2 linked regions of the Saccharomyces cerevisiae S288C genome follow. The gene in region 1 interacts genetically with each later gene. Each region holds a gene or a part of one and is shown on either strand. Other genes may lie near its edges. The genes, in order: VPH2 and PHO86.

Region 1 (7,715 bases):
TGGAGCACGCTTTAGATATTTTGGATGCAAACTGGTCCAAAAATGGATTTCTAATAACAGCATCAATGGACAAAACTGCAAAACTATGGCACCCTGAGAGGAAATACTCATTGAAAACTTTTGTTCACCCAGATTTTGTTACATCCGCAATATTTTTTCCCAATGATGATCGTTTCATAATTACCGGATGCTTAGATCACAGGTGTAGACTGTGGTCTATACTGGACAATGAGGTTTCTTATGCCTTTGATTGCAAAGATTTGATAACATCCCTAACATTATCTCCTCCTGGTGGGGAATATACAATTATCGGTACATTCAATGGATACATTTATGTTTTACTGACACATGGATTAAAATTTGTATCTTCATTCCATGTATCTGATAAAAGCACTCAAGGAACCACTAAGAATAGCTTTCATCCATCTTCCGAATATGGAAAGGTCCAACACGGCCCTCGAATCACGGGTTTACAATGCTTCTTTTCTAAGGTGGACAAAAATTTAAGATTGATAGTTACGACAAATGATTCAAAAATTCAAATCTTTGATTTAAATGAAAAAAAACCTTTAGAGCTTTTTAAAGGATTCCAAAGTGGTTCCTCACGTCATAGAGGCCAATTCCTAATGATGAAAAATGAACCTGTAGTTTTCACGGGAAGTGATGATCATTGGTTTTATACCTGGAAAATGCAGTCCTTTAATCTTTCAGCAGAAATGAATTGCACTGCTCCGCATAGAAAGAAACGGCTGAGCGGCAGTATGAGTTTAAAAGGGCTGTTGAGAATTGTATCTAATAAGAGTACGAATGATGAATGTTTGACAGAAACGTCAAACCAAAGCAGCTCACACACATTTACCAACTCATCAAAAAATGTTCTTCAAACTCAAACTGTTGGTTCTCAAGCTATCAAAAACAATCATTATATATCATTTCATGCCCATAACTCCCCTGTCACATGTGCTTCCATTGCTCCCGACGTTGCAATTAAAAATTTGTCCTTGTCAAACGATTTGATTTTCGAACTGACTTCACAGTACTTCAAAGAAATGGGCCAAAATTATTCAGAATCTAAGGAAACATGTGATAACAAACCTAATCACCCAGTTACAGAAACAGGAGGATTCAGCTCAAACCTATCGAACGTTGTGAATAATGTTGGAACCATTCTAATAACAACAGACAGTCAAGGTCTAATCCGTGTTTTCAGAACTGATATCTTACCGGAAATACGAAAAAAAATAATAGAAAAGTTCCATGAATACAATTTATTCCACCTCGAAGCTGCTGGTAAAATCAACAACCACAACAATGACAGCATATTGGAAAATAGAATGGATGAAAGAAGTTCCACAGAGGATAATGAGTTTAGCACAACCCCACCATCTAACACGCACAATAGTAGGCCAAGCCACGATTTTTGTGAGCTGCATCCTAATAATAGCCCGGTGATTTCCGGCATGCCATCAAGAGCTAGTGCTATTTTCAAGAATTCGATCTTTAATAAATCCAATGGAAGTTTTATATCCCTAAAGTCAAGAAGTGAAAGTACGAGCTCCACGGTGTTTGGACCGCATGATATTCCGAGAGTTTCTACCACTTATCCGAAGTTGAAATGTGACGTCTGCAATGGATCTAATTTTGAATGTGCTTCCAAAAACCCCATTGCTGGCGGTGATAGCGGTTTCACGTGTGCTGATTGTGGTACAATCCTCAATAATTTCAGATAGAGAATCAGAAAGTAAGAGGAAAAACTATCTGTTCCACCGTCTTTAGATCATAAGCATGTCTGCAAATAACATAGTATTATTATTTATATCTGTAGCGATCTTTATTATTTTTCATTACTGACACATTTTCTCACAGAACCATCTACAACCCGAAAGATGCCGGAAACGGTCTTAGGCCGATGGGGTCTATTAGGGCCTACAGAGACGTCAATTGGGCTATAAGAAAAATGAAATCGAGGAAAGATTTTCCACTCTCAAATTAAGTAGGGCAAAAATATGCTTTTGTTCGCATGTGGTGTTATTCCAGTTGCGAGTCAGGGTCTGCCGATATGCTAAAGGAGGTCACGAAAACGAATCTGGCATTTAATACCTCATTAAGTTACAGCGGAATCGGCCTTCTGTTGCGGAAAAAAAAAAAAAAAAGAAAACGAACATTAAGCACCGCTGAAATTTCAAGCTGTGACTAAGTCGTCAAATGATAAATACTGCATATATATAAACTATGTGATTATATGCAACATTAAGATATACTTTCTTCTTCCATAATGCCCCCACTCCAGAACTCCATCCGAAATAGTTTTCCTTAGATTGCTATAGCAAGTCAGACACAAGCACATCTCATCGAATTATATCGTAAGCAAATATGTCATCTGACAACTCTAAACAAGATAAACAAATTGAAAAAACAGCCGCCCAGAAGATATCGAAGTTTGGTTCGTTTGTGGCTGGTGGGCTAGCAGCATGTATAGCTGTTACAGTTACTAATCCGATCGAATTGATTAAAATCAGAATGCAGCTTCAAGGTGAAATGTCAGCATCAGCTGCAAAAGTTTATAAAAATCCAATCCAAGGTATGGCGGTAATTTTCAAAAACGAAGGTATAAAAGGTCTGCAAAAAGGGTTAAATGCTGCTTATATCTATCAAATTGGGCTAAATGGTTCCAGATTAGGGTTTTATGAGCCAATCAGATCATCATTAAATCAGCTTTTCTTCCCAGATCAAGAGCCACATAAGGTACAGAGCGTCGGAGTTAACGTCTTTTCTGGTGCCGCATCTGGTATAATTGGTGCAGTCATTGGCTCTCCATTATTCTTGGTGAAAACAAGACTTCAATCATATTCCGAGTTTATAAAAATTGGTGAACAAACGCACTACACCGGTGTTTGGAACGGGTTAGTAACCATTTTTAAAACCGAAGGTGTTAAGGGTCTATTCAGAGGTATTGATGCGGCAATTTTAAGGACAGGTGCTGGTTCCTCTGTTCAACTACCTATCTACAACACAGCAAAGAACATTTTGGTCAAAAATGATCTGATGAAAGATGGCCCAGCATTACATTTAACTGCTAGTACTATCTCTGGGTTAGGTGTTGCCGTCGTTATGAACCCATGGGATGTCATTTTGACAAGAATCTATAATCAAAAAGGTGACTTGTACAAGGGACCTATAGATTGTTTGGTCAAAACTGTTAGAATCGAAGGTGTAACCGCTTTGTATAAGGGTTTTGCAGCTCAAGTGTTCAGAATCGCACCTCATACAATCATGTGTTTGACCTTCATGGAACAGACAATGAAACTAGTTTATTCGATAGAGTCGAGAGTTTTAGGCCATAATTAATTCCCATAACAAACTCCGAGGTTTGAAGTTTCATTCATTGGCCAGGACAGTTCTACTTTACTAATGGTTTCATTACAACCTTTTTCTTCATATTATGTAGCATTAAGGATAATAGAGCATTTTTTATTTCACATTCATACACGATAGTTTTATAAACGTAATTATAAACATACAGAACATTATTCACAATTGTCCAGTTCCAAGAATTATATGCTCTCGGATCTCGGAGTTCTTATTTATAAAATGATCAGTTACAGTGTAATCTTGCTTAGAACTTTCTTTTTCTCAACCTTTGTTTTTTCTTTTACTTTTGCTTCTTCGAGTTTTTTCAGATAGCTGTTATACACAACCACATCTGCTACTAAGACCAATATTCCAAAGAACAAGCACAACAAAAGACGAACATGGACCGGAAAGTTTGTTGAAGATCCGGTCCAGTACCAAATGGCCACAACAACCGATATGACACTTACAAGAACGTTGAAAACAGTGGTAACTTGTTCCTTAATCTGTTTATTAATTTGTGAAGGCGTGAGTTCATCGTCTTCTTGAAGTGAAAAGACAGACTTGCTTCTCTTGACCATACTTTGATATTCAAGTTCTTGTTCCTGATATTTCAAAAACTCTAATTTTTTCTTGAAATCCTCTGAATAGTGTAAACCTCTGACGGCCTTGGGCTTGAATTCGAACTCCAAAGGTTTCAAAAGTTCTTTGATAGAGCATTGGAGATCACTGTCTTTTCTATACTCTTTCACATAAAAAAGAAGTGACTGCATAGGTATTGCGTGTCGCTTCAGGAACAAATCAATGTCCTCATCAATTCCTTCGTTTGATTTCGCGCTATTCTTGAACTTTCGCAGAAATTCAGTTATTCTATCATTCAGTTTAATTTCGAACATTAGAGTTCTTTTATGTGATGCCAATCGTCAATTATCCTATCTTACCTTTTCTTCATTTCTTTCAGCGTTTTCATGTGAGATTTGCTTTATTTTCGCTTCCTCGTTTCTCATTTTAAATATTCACACGTCCGTCATGTCTACTTTGAGTCAGTTAAATACACAAGATTTTTGTAAAACTGAGTATTTCGTGAACAATATAATTGTTCGGATTCAATCATAGTTAAAGACTATAGTATGAGATACACAGAATATCCTAAAAGTTCCCCTCGAGGGTATAGGAAACCTCAAAATGGAATCGGTCTTTCTACATGATAATATTACTCTAACTTCTTTTCTTCTATACTTTGCCATTCATTACCCTATCACGTTATCAATCCTTGCATTTCAGCTTCCATTAAGACCGATAACTGTTTCCCAATCTCTATGTCATCATCTTACACCGCTGTGATAATATTCTAGGAAGACGAATACTAGCCAATAGATGATACAAGGATTTCATTTCGACAGAAACAAAAAAAGCATGGAAAAACGAATGGAGACAAAGAGGAAGTTAAAGAAAGTTCATTTGTGACCTCATTTACTCAGAAGAATTTCGTAAATCGGTTGTTATAGAACTGTTTTATTGTTTAAAAGAGCTTGTTATAGTAATCTAAGTGGAAATACACTAACAGTAAATAGGGCGTGTGGCGTAGTCGGTAGCGCGCTCCCTTAGCATGGGAGAGGTCTCCGGTTCGATTCCGGACTCGTCCAATCTTTTTATACTTATTAATAATTTTTTTCCTGCCGTTACTTGCTTTTAAAATAACTGCCTTTTATGAATACAGAGTATAATTTTTGATATACAAAGAGGTTGACTGTGATAATCAATACTTAATTTGTGGTTATTGGTACACATATACCTACAAAAGTTACCAACAAACTGTTCGACTTTTAATGCTACCCGCCTTCCGAGTGTTTTTGAAGGGGCGGAGAGGAGCGGCAAGAATTAGCATGGAAAAAAGCATAAAAAGACGAAATGGGTGGCAATGTATTAACTTGTTCGAGAAACCTAGTGGACTCAATTCATTACAACAACAAGTTCCCAAGATCATCGATTCATAATAGTCATGTCCGATAAAGTTATTAACCCTCAAGTTGCATGGGCTCAAAGGTCTAGTACTACTGATCCAGAAAGAAATTATGTCTTAATAACTGTGTCAATTGCAGACTGTGATGCCCCTGAGTTAACCATTAAGCCATCATACATCGAATTAAAGGCTCAATCAAAGCCTCATGTTGGCGATGAAAATGTCCATCATTATCAATTACACATTGATCTATACAAGGAAATTATACCTGAAAAAACAATGCATAAGGTTGCTAATGGCCAGCACTACTTTTTGAAATTGTATAAAAAGGATTTAGAATCTGAATACTGGCCACGTTTGACAAAGGAAAAGGTGAAGTACCCTTACATCAAAACTGATTTCGATAAATGGGTTGATGAAGATGAACAAGACGAAGTTGAAGCTGAAGGTAATGATGCCGCTCAAGGAATGGATTTCAGCCAAATGATGGGAGGTGCTGGAGGTGCTGGAGGTGCTGGAGGCATGGACTTCAGCCAAATGATGGGAGGTGCTGGTGGCGCTGGTTCTCCAGATATGGCTCAATTGCAGCAATTATTGGCTCAAAGCGGTGGTAATTTGGACATGGGAGATTTCAAAGAAAACGATGAAGAAGATGAAGAAGAGGAAATAGAGCCGGAAGTGAAAGCTTAAAAGGAGGAGCAAATCAACCTGGAGTGCTAGAATGAGTAACTTAGAATAAAAGACGAATATATGCACTTTACACAACTCTTTACCTGTTTGTTATTGGCTGCCTCTATGTAATTAAATATTATGGAATTAATAAAAATATTTTTATTCGTAACTATCTTAGATATATATTGTACATTGTCAAAAAGACAGTAGTAAGCAGATAGAAGCTATATTGGATGCAAAATAGAGAAAAAAGCAGAAATATTATGTTGCAAATGTCAAGTAATGGAACTGTATGTGATATTTAAAGAACAATTTCTATATGCTGGATGATTATCAGGTGTAAGCAATAAGAAAGAAAACGAAAGTAACTCCCATCCGTGGGAAATTTCAAGAAAAACTTAGAGTATCAGCGATCGTTTTAACGAAGGGGGATTCGTAAATTTCATTAATCGACCAACGTTGGTTCTTCCTCGTTAGCGTATTTTCCACAATCTGTTTTCCCACATTAGTTTTATAATCGCTTAACCGGTACCATCTCCAATCAAACCTGGCAATACGATGTGACGTAGCTCTGCTACGCTGTCTTGCTGAAGCGTTTGGAGGAGGGTCAAATGGTAATCTGTCCTCAAACAAGCTGTATAGTATGACACCTAAGGCCCACGTGTCGCTTAAATGGCCATCGTAGGGAACTCCCATCAGGATTTCTGGTGAGACATAATCCTCTGATCCACATCTTGCTGTACACATCTCATTGTTCTCAATTTTTTTGCAGAGACCAAAATCTGCTAGCTCAATGAAATTTTGCTTGCAGTAAATGGGTGAGTCCCTAAAACTGTTGATATCATCAAAACTATATTTCAGTAGTATATTCTCTAATTTTAGGTCCCGATGAATAATACTGTTTTCGTGCAAATATTTTACTGCCAGTACTACTTCCGTAAAAATCCTTTGAATCAGCCACGCTTCTAGTCTTCCGTTACGGGCCATGACGGCAGCTAATAAGTCTCCTGCAGGACAATAAGACATAATCATATCACAAGGCGGCAGAGCTCTTGGAGTTTTTATAATCAAATCGCATAAAGGTTTTTTGCTAGTAACAAAAATTGGATTGTTTATCCCAAGTAGTTTAACTATACATGGGTGATTTAGTGATTTTAGCACCTGCAATTCCCTAGTCAGAGAATTTTCCAAACGGGATAAAGTTTCCTTATATCGTAACGATGTATTGATTTGTTCAACATTTGATAATTCCTCGGGATATTTGAGTCGTTTAACGGCCACTTGTTTCAGTTTAGGATTGCTTTGGTCCATGAGTTCATATAAAAGTACGGTACTAAAATTTCCTGAACCAATGGGCCTGACCTTTTTCCATAATAACGGGCGATCCCAGTGATCTAAAAGAAATCCCTGAAATATATCATCGTCACACTTTTCGGTAGAACTACTACTTTCGGGAAAATAAGGTTCTTTCGTGTAGTTATCACTATCAACAGAATCATTTACTAAAGCCTCTTCAGTCACTGTTGGTAAGGAAACAACCCTTTGGGGGGATAAATTAGCTGGTGCAATAAGTTCAGAAACAACTCTTTGGTTTGGTTGTGTAACAGAAAGCATATCATCCAGTAATCGTGCATGACTTCGTCTTTTGGGTATATTCAACGAGGATTGATCTATAGGTGACATTGACAGATTGCCTGGGGATAACGGAGTGTAGGTCATCGGTGTAGGT
Region 2 (7,912 bases), on another chromosome or scaffold:
CTTGTATCTTCACTAATATTTAATCAGCCCTTGGTCATACAGGCTTCCCCTAGATTGAAATACAGGTGCTGAACACCGTTGTATATTCACGACTTCCTCTATTTTTTTCATATTTTCCATTATTCAACGAACGCGGGTAACAAGTCGGCCGAATTTGAACCCACTCCTCTGCGCTTGTAACTTTATACATCATCGTTACGCTATAAATGTTATGTATTAAGTGTATCAAAGACCCATACGGTCAATGACATAATTCTGTGCCATGACCCCAAATGACAAGCTTAATCCATCTTCGATCCATTCCTTTACCCATTCACTAGGATCAATGATCTCATCGTCTTCGTCTTCGTCTTCACTTTCTTTTTGTTTCTTTTGATCGTATGACTTATTCCTCTCCTCACTTGCTGTTGATCCTGTTTTCTCCACGGATCCTTCTAGCCAATTGACCCATTTGACAGGGAATCCTTGTGATCTTGTTATGGTGGTAATATCGTTAGTTATGTCTTTCAATACAAGGGTGAAATTGAAATTGCCTGGCGTATTGGAGTCGGTCACTTGAAAGTCACCGTCGGCATCTTTTTGTTTTTGCGGAATGGCAATTGGTAAGATGGATATGAATAAATCACTGATTTTATTGCTGTTACTGCTAATAGAACTCCTATCGTCATCTGGAGTGGCATCAGCCTCTTTCTGTTGTTTCTGGTATTCCTCATGTGCAGTATTGAAGAGTTTGACTGCATTTTCCAGGTTTGCAAATGCCAGTTTCTCACCGTCTGTTACCTTGCCGTCGAATAGATTAAACTGTAATTTTTTTTTAGAGTTGCCTAACTCACCGTCTGCAACTGAAGGCTTTTTTTCCACAGGTGTAATTCCATTATTGTTAGGATGGCCCCATTCATCTACAAATATTCTGATTCCTCCCTCAACTTGTGAGCTTAGAACTTGATCAAACTTGCTTTCAATATTGTATTGTAATGAGGGATAGTTAACCAAATCATGGACTAGATGAATTCGCAGCACCTCTTCAGTCTCACCAACAACGATTTTCTGTAAGTTTCTGGCTATTTCAGTAATCGTGCTCGTGTTTATCTTTGAAGTCAAATCAAGCTGTTCTTGGGCAAGTCGGTTTTTGATCTGGGATGCTTGTTCTGCAGTTTTATTCCAAATACTCGATACCTTTGCGGATCCAGAGGAGGACCACCAGTTTGAAATAGAAGCAATTGGGTCATGCAATGGGGTCTCCTCCTCCTCCTCTTCTTCTTCTTCTTCTTCCTCCTCTTCTTCTTCTTTCTCCTGCTGCTGTGGTTCCTTTTCCTTTCCGTGAGCGTCCTGCTCGGAATTTTTGTTTTCTTTTGATTCTTCTACTTTTTCGTCTTGTGCTTTATTATTAACTGATTCACTGGGAGCCTTCTTTTCAACCCCTTTCTTGTCAGTTAAGCTTAAGTTACTCTTCTCCAACTCTTCTAAGAATTCAAAGATATCATCGTCACCTTTCTTTCCATCATTCCCGGTCTTGCCCGCCACAGAATTAGAACCTCCCTTAACGCCTTCTTGGCTACCCTTTACGTCAGTATTAACCATTTTCCCGCCATTCTTTGCTTCTGGCAAAGAATCTAAAAATTCAAATACGTCTTCAGCCTCAGAGTTCTTATTTTCAGACATTTTGCCCTGGTAGTATGTATGTTTTTAATCGATTGAGTCTAGTTAACCTGTCCCTTGTTCTATTCTTCACCGTCTCGTCCAACTTCCATCAAAGAACCAGAAACCAGAAAATCGCCGGTTTCTTCCACGCGTCAATCCGTTTGGAATGATCTCATCGCAAAATTTTTTTTCGCTAAAATTTTCATAGAGAGTATCAATATTAATATATGGTTATAACTTATGGCGGCATTAGTCGATGAGGTGCTTGCCGAAGAGACTAGCACAGCCAACCCATAATGCCTTCTAAAAACTCCATCAACAGACCTAAGCTGACTTCAAATTTGCACCACAAGGTGCACTCTTTAAATAAGAAAAGAGCTCAAAGAGAAAGAGCTGGTCTCTTGAAGCCAGCTAGATCCAGCGTAAATTCGAAATCTGGGGAAATAAAATCAGTAGCGTTGGACCTATACTTCCAAAACAAGAAGAACGAAAGTCAGAATTCCACTGCTGTGACATTACAAAATGCTTCATCTTCTCCGGCCTCCATCACCACGAGGACACTTTCCAAAAAGAGAGCTAAGAAAATCGAGAGAAACTTAAAATATGCTACACAGAGAAAATTATTGGTTGACGCAAGCGCTAAGCTAGAAGACGAAATGGATATTGATCTAGATGGCGGTAAGAAAGTGAAAGAGAATGAAAAGAAGAGTTCTTTGACTTTGGTTAAGGAAGCCTTATGGAGTGTCATTGACGATACTGCATCCCAGGGATTGATCATCGAAAACGGACAAGGCACCACCCTGGGCGGCCCATTTTTCCCATGAGTTAGGCACTTACGTATCTTGTATAGTAGGAATGGCTCGGTTTATGTATATTAGGAGATCAAAACGAGAAAAAAATACCATATCGTATAGTATAGAGAGTATAAATATAAGAAATGCCGCATATGTACAACTAATCTAGCAAATCTCTAGAACGCAATTCCTTCGAGACTTCTTCTTTCATGAAGGAGATAACATCGTGCGGGTCAGCTGCAGTGAAAACACTGGTACCAGCGACAATAACGTTGGCACCGGCTTTGGCGGCTTTCGGGATGGTCTCCTTGCCCAAACCACCATCGACTTGGATATTCAAATGGGGGAACTTGGCTCTCAAAGTTTCCACTTTTGGCATCATGTCTTCCATGAATTTTTGGCCTCCAAACCCAGGTTCCACAGTCATAACAAGAGCCATATCCAAATGAGGAGCTAGTTCAAATAAAACGTCAACAGAAGTACCAGGTTTGATGGCGCATGCAGCTTTGATGCCCTTAGACTTAATCAACTTAACTAAATGCAAAGGGTCTTGTGTGGCCTCGTAGTGGAACGTAAATTGGTCAGCACCACATTTAGCAAAATCGTCGACCCATTTTTCAGGATTTTCAACCATCATGTGACAATCGAAGAACGCAGTGGGCTTCTTTTCTGTGTTGCTAGCATCGCCAGGGCGTGGCACAGAACGACGTAGGGAGGTAACAATTGGTTGGCCCAGAGTAATGTTTGGAACAAAATGGCCGTCCATGACATCGATATGTAACCAATCTGCGCCGGCGTTGATGACCTTATGACATTCGCAACCCAAGTTGGCGAAGTCAGAAGCAAGGATACTGGGAGCTATAATTGGTTTGACCATTTTTTCTTGTGTGTTTACCTCGCTCTTGGAATTAGCAAATGGCCTTCTTGCATGAAATTGTATCGAGTTTGCTTTATTTTTCTTTTTACGGGCGGATTCTTTCTATTCTGGCTTTCCTATAACAGAGATCATGAAAGAAGTTCCAGCTTACGGATCAAGAAAGTACCTATACATATACAAAAATCTGATTACTTTCCCAGCTCGACTTGGATAGCTGTTCTTGTTTTCTCTTGGCGACACATTTTTTGTTTCTGAAGCCACGTCCTGCTTTATAAGAGGACATTTAAAGTTGCAGGACTTGAATGCAATTACCGGAAGAAGCAACCAACCGGCATGGTTCAGCATACAATACACATTTGATTAGAAAAGCAGAGAATAAATAGACATGATACCTCTCTTTTTATCCTCTGCAGCGTATTATTGTTTATTCCACGCAGGCATCGGTCGTTGGCTGTTGTTATGTCTCAGATAAGCGCGTTTGTTATGCGAAAAAAAAAAACTTTACAGAGGCTTTGTTTATATATAGAAAGACCACGAAAAAAACAGTGATGGCTTCATGCTTTTCAGTTTCATTATTGGCACGAGTAGCAGTCGTTGAGCCCATCAGAGTGCAACTTTGGTTAAATGTCGTAAATTGTATGATTGAATCATCCATGCACCAATGTCCTCCACGGGATCGCCACTTTTTTTCTTCATCACGCCCCATTTTGTTGATCCGACGTTCTGTATCAACTGTATACAGATTCGTTGCTTCTCGCACCACACAGGTTTTACGTGCGGCCAAGACCGTTGTCAAGTGGTTCATTATTGTCGACCCACTGATAAATTCTATTCTAATCAATTATCTCATTGATAGGCTCTGCACTCTTGGGCATGCTGTATTGCGAGTGAAAAAGCGCAAGACCGAGGAGAGACAACCCTGTTCTCCCATTATACAACACACACACGTTAAGAGACGCAAACGGCCTCGTCTGAGGATCGTAGCCATCAAGAGGAAGCGGAGGCGTCGAAGACCACATCGCATCGAGCGTCCACTCTCAAATATGTACCCAATAATGGAAATCCAGATGGTGGCTGTTCCACTTGCTCTTCCCAGTCCAACTGCACTGGTGCATTATCAGCAGCAGCAACAGCAGCTCCCGCAACATCATCCCTGGTACGACCTCTCGCTTTCTGAAGAAGCCCTCTCGACCTGCTGTTGTAGTTGACCTATAACTGAAAATTCACACCCGCATTACCCAGCGCGCCCGCACGTGCTCTTTATGGAAACTATAATGAATAACGACCAAAGAACATCTTTTTTTCTCTCTCACACAAATAAAGCTTTTCATGTTTATAGATATATAGCACATACTTTTACTAAGTTTTCTAGATTGATTACGACTCTTCCAGTTGCACATTTTTTCATAGCGAAAGTACAAGAGTAGGAAGAGTGGCACAATGGCGGTTCAACAAAGAAAGAAGAAAGAGGGTAGAAAGTCCGATAAAAATGCCCCATCGGTCCCACAAGTAGATGCATCATTAGACAAACCACTTGATATTGATGCTCCTCCTACTATTTACAGTGTTAATTTGAAACCAGAATATGGTACAGCTGCATTGAATTTGTCCGCGGATTTCATCAGACAAGAACAGGCATTGGCTAATAAGTATTTGTTCTTCCATCCCGTCATCCTTGTTGTTCTAACCATTGGGCTGCTTATTTACTTGACGCCAAGAATTGTCTTTCCGATAAGGAATACAGGATCCGTTGCTGGATGGTTCTACCAGCTGGCTCGTATTAATAAGAAGGTCGTCCTCAGCGGTTTAGTGTTCACCGCAATTGGTGCATCTTTCTTGTTCACCCTCCTCTCACGTGTATCTGACTCGTATTTCAAGTCGAAGATCAACCAACTTGTTGGTTCTAAAGGTGAGAAAGTTTTCGGCATCAATTTGAATGATTTGGTGGCAAGACATGAAACAAAGGATCCAGTGGTGAACAATACGCATATCATCGTTTATAGAGAAACGCCCATTGCATTGATTTCGTTAGCCCCTAACATGACATTAAGTACTGATGAAAATTTAGTCATGAGTGTTACTACTGTGGGTTGTCGTCGTGTATATGTAAAAAGTGGCATTATCGAAGATTTGATTGATTGGGCTATGCTACACTCCAAAAATATTAGAAGCAGCGGCAAATACGGGGAGACCATGAAACTCTTGATTGATGTCTACTCATTCGATAGCACGCTTAAGGAAATTTTGAAGAAAAAAGGGTTCACTTATATTCAAAGCATTAGAGTCTCTGAAAATCGACTACTAGGCGGTTTGTTCGGTGTGAAGAAGGAATTATGGGGTTTGCAATTCCATTTTAAAGCCGAACACAAGGACTAGGATACTGTTATTTTTATAGCCAAAAAATGAAAAAAAACAGCATGGCATCTTGTTAGTTCTGTTGCAACTCGCAGGAAGTAACAAAATAAACACTATAATATTTCCATATATTTATATATATGTATACAAACACCTTGTTAACAAAAAAAAAATAAACGAACTAAAGAAAACCGTAATGCAGAGTACACCTTGAAGAGAGAGAAAAGAAAATCTTTGAATCCATAGCATAATAGCGATCAACGAAACTTTTTAAGAAGTAAAATGAACTGAAAGGAGAAAAATATAACGGAATCCCAATGTATAATAATAAATAGAGAGCGGAAGAAAAAGAATAATAAGGGGAATTGAGGGTATCAAAATACAAGACATTCTTTTACCGAAAAGAAGAATGACTTAATAGAAAACAAATTCAGCAGATCCAGATAAAACAGAAACTGTGCAACCATCGGAACCATCTCCGGTGAAAGAGCCATCTTCATACGCACAGCTGCCCTGAACGTTAGCGCCATCGGATGCAACTATTTTAACGTTAAAGTTGGCAGCTTGGTTACTGTTGGGGTTTGGAATCAACGACAAGTATGTTTCTCCATTAGTGGAACCAGCACCTAACACTAGTGGAGCCCAGTTGCCGACATCCGAACCAGAAGTACCCCAAATGCACCCATCTTCTGCAGATACACCGGCGTTGTTAATATAGTACTGAGCAGAAGTCTTTTTACCCTGCCATTGATAATAAGTGTCTTCATCAACGACTGAAATTGGTTGTGAATCTCCACCATCAACCACTGTGGGAATCACCATGTTTTCTGATCCTGGGTAATCCGTCCTACATAGAGCAATGGAGTCAGACTTTTTGTTAATGGCCTTAGCAGATGTTTCATCCGTAGAACATAAATCGCTGGTATCAGTGTTGGTACGGTACAAGTAACCATTTTTACAGTAAAGACCACCAACAGATTTACCATCGCTTGGTTGGTCAGAAGGCCATTGAGTCTTTGACATTCCAGGTTCACATGCATAAGAACAGTAGTAGCCATCCTTACATTCGGACGAAGTGTTGGCATCCATGTCCATGACAGAGGCCCATCCACCAAATCCTAGCCAGTCCAAGGAAACTATACCGTTTACAGAAGGGAAGTCCGAACATTTGACAGTACCATCTTGGAATCCGCCATCACGCTTCTGTTCAGAGGTATCCTTCTCAGATGAGGACAATGTAGTGGTAGTAGCAGCAGATTCTACAGTACTAGTAGCGGCATTGGAATCTATGTATTGAGTGACAGTGACAACCGCTGGTTTTTCATCTTTGTGATGATCTTCATGGTGACTGTCCGCTGGAGCAGGTGCAGGGGCAGAAAATGCGACAGAAGAAAGGGAAGACAATATTAAAGCTGCGGAAATTTTCATTATGTGTTAGAGAGAGACGAGTTAAGTATGTGCGACTATACTAGTATTATAATATTAAAGGAAAGTAAGGTACCGTCTATGAGGAGACTGTTAGTTGGATATCAGTAATGAGACGAAAAAGCTCGAAATGAATGGATATATTCTTTTTGCTACTGGCAACTGTTGAATATTTAATGTTAAAACAAACTAACTGAGGTATATTCGTATCTGTATGTACACATATACTATATACAGGAAAAGATAAGCAAGAGAGAGGATATCAACTACGAGAGCGATCGATTATATATCAAAAGCTGTCCGCTTTGCCACCCATAATCGGCGCTTAGTTTCGGAGTTCAATCATAATTCTACCACCTTACACTCAACTTACTCTTTAACTCCTATAGTATAATATCGCCACTGACCCCATATTAAAAAAATTTTTTTGCTCGATCTTCTATCCTCTTTAGGTTAATTGTCGCTGTTATTGTCTAGATTTTTTCTCGGAGATGGCGCATCTATTTGCCGTCAAAAGATCCTCTCATACCATATTAAGTAAATTGCCTCCATTTCTTTTTCCTCGGGCAGAGAAACTCGCAGGCAACTTGCTCTCGAAGTGGTCACGTGCGGGTCTAGGCCTGCATAATCGGCCCTCACAGAGGGATCCCGTTACCCATCTATGCTGAAGATTTATCATACTATTCCTCCGCTCGTTTCTTTTTTCAGTGAGGTGTGTCGTGAAAGAAAACCCACAATTAAACTTTCAACAACCGGGCGACTAGGAAGAGAGTAGTGGGCGCGGATGACGAAGGCTAAGGTCACTTCTTCGTTTCCTTTA

The links.
Region 2: mutations in VPH2 (region 1) and PHO86 together harm fitness more than expected from each alone (negative genetic interaction), as found in Saccharomyces cerevisiae (2 studies listed by BioGRID).

What each region holds. Positions count from the first base shown.
Region 1 is NC_001143.9:214,971-222,685, forward strand, and holds VPH2 (Vph2p), read right to left. Parts: upstream 4,248-7,715; coding exon 3,600-4,247; downstream 1-3,599. Other genes in the region: DGR2 (Dgr2p), read left to right, coding at 1-1,730; OAC1 (Oac1p), read left to right, coding at 2,374-3,348; Hsp90 cochaperone SBA1, read left to right, coding at 5,354-6,004; serine/threonine protein kinase PRR1, read right to left, coding at 6,374-7,715. UniProt on the Saccharomyces cerevisiae protein: Required for vacuolar ATPase assembly.
Region 2 is NC_001142.9:187,779-195,690, forward strand, and holds PHO86 (Pho86p), read left to right. Parts: upstream 1-4,752; coding exon 4,753-5,688; downstream 5,689-7,912. Other genes in the region: DUF5427 domain-containing protein MTC1, read right to left, coding at 226-1,662; ALB1 (Alb1p), read left to right, coding at 1,938-2,465; ribulose-phosphate 3-epimerase RPE1, read right to left, coding at 2,596-3,312; YJL118W (uncharacterized protein), read left to right, coding at 3,861-4,520; SUN family protein NCA3, read right to left, coding at 6,082-7,095.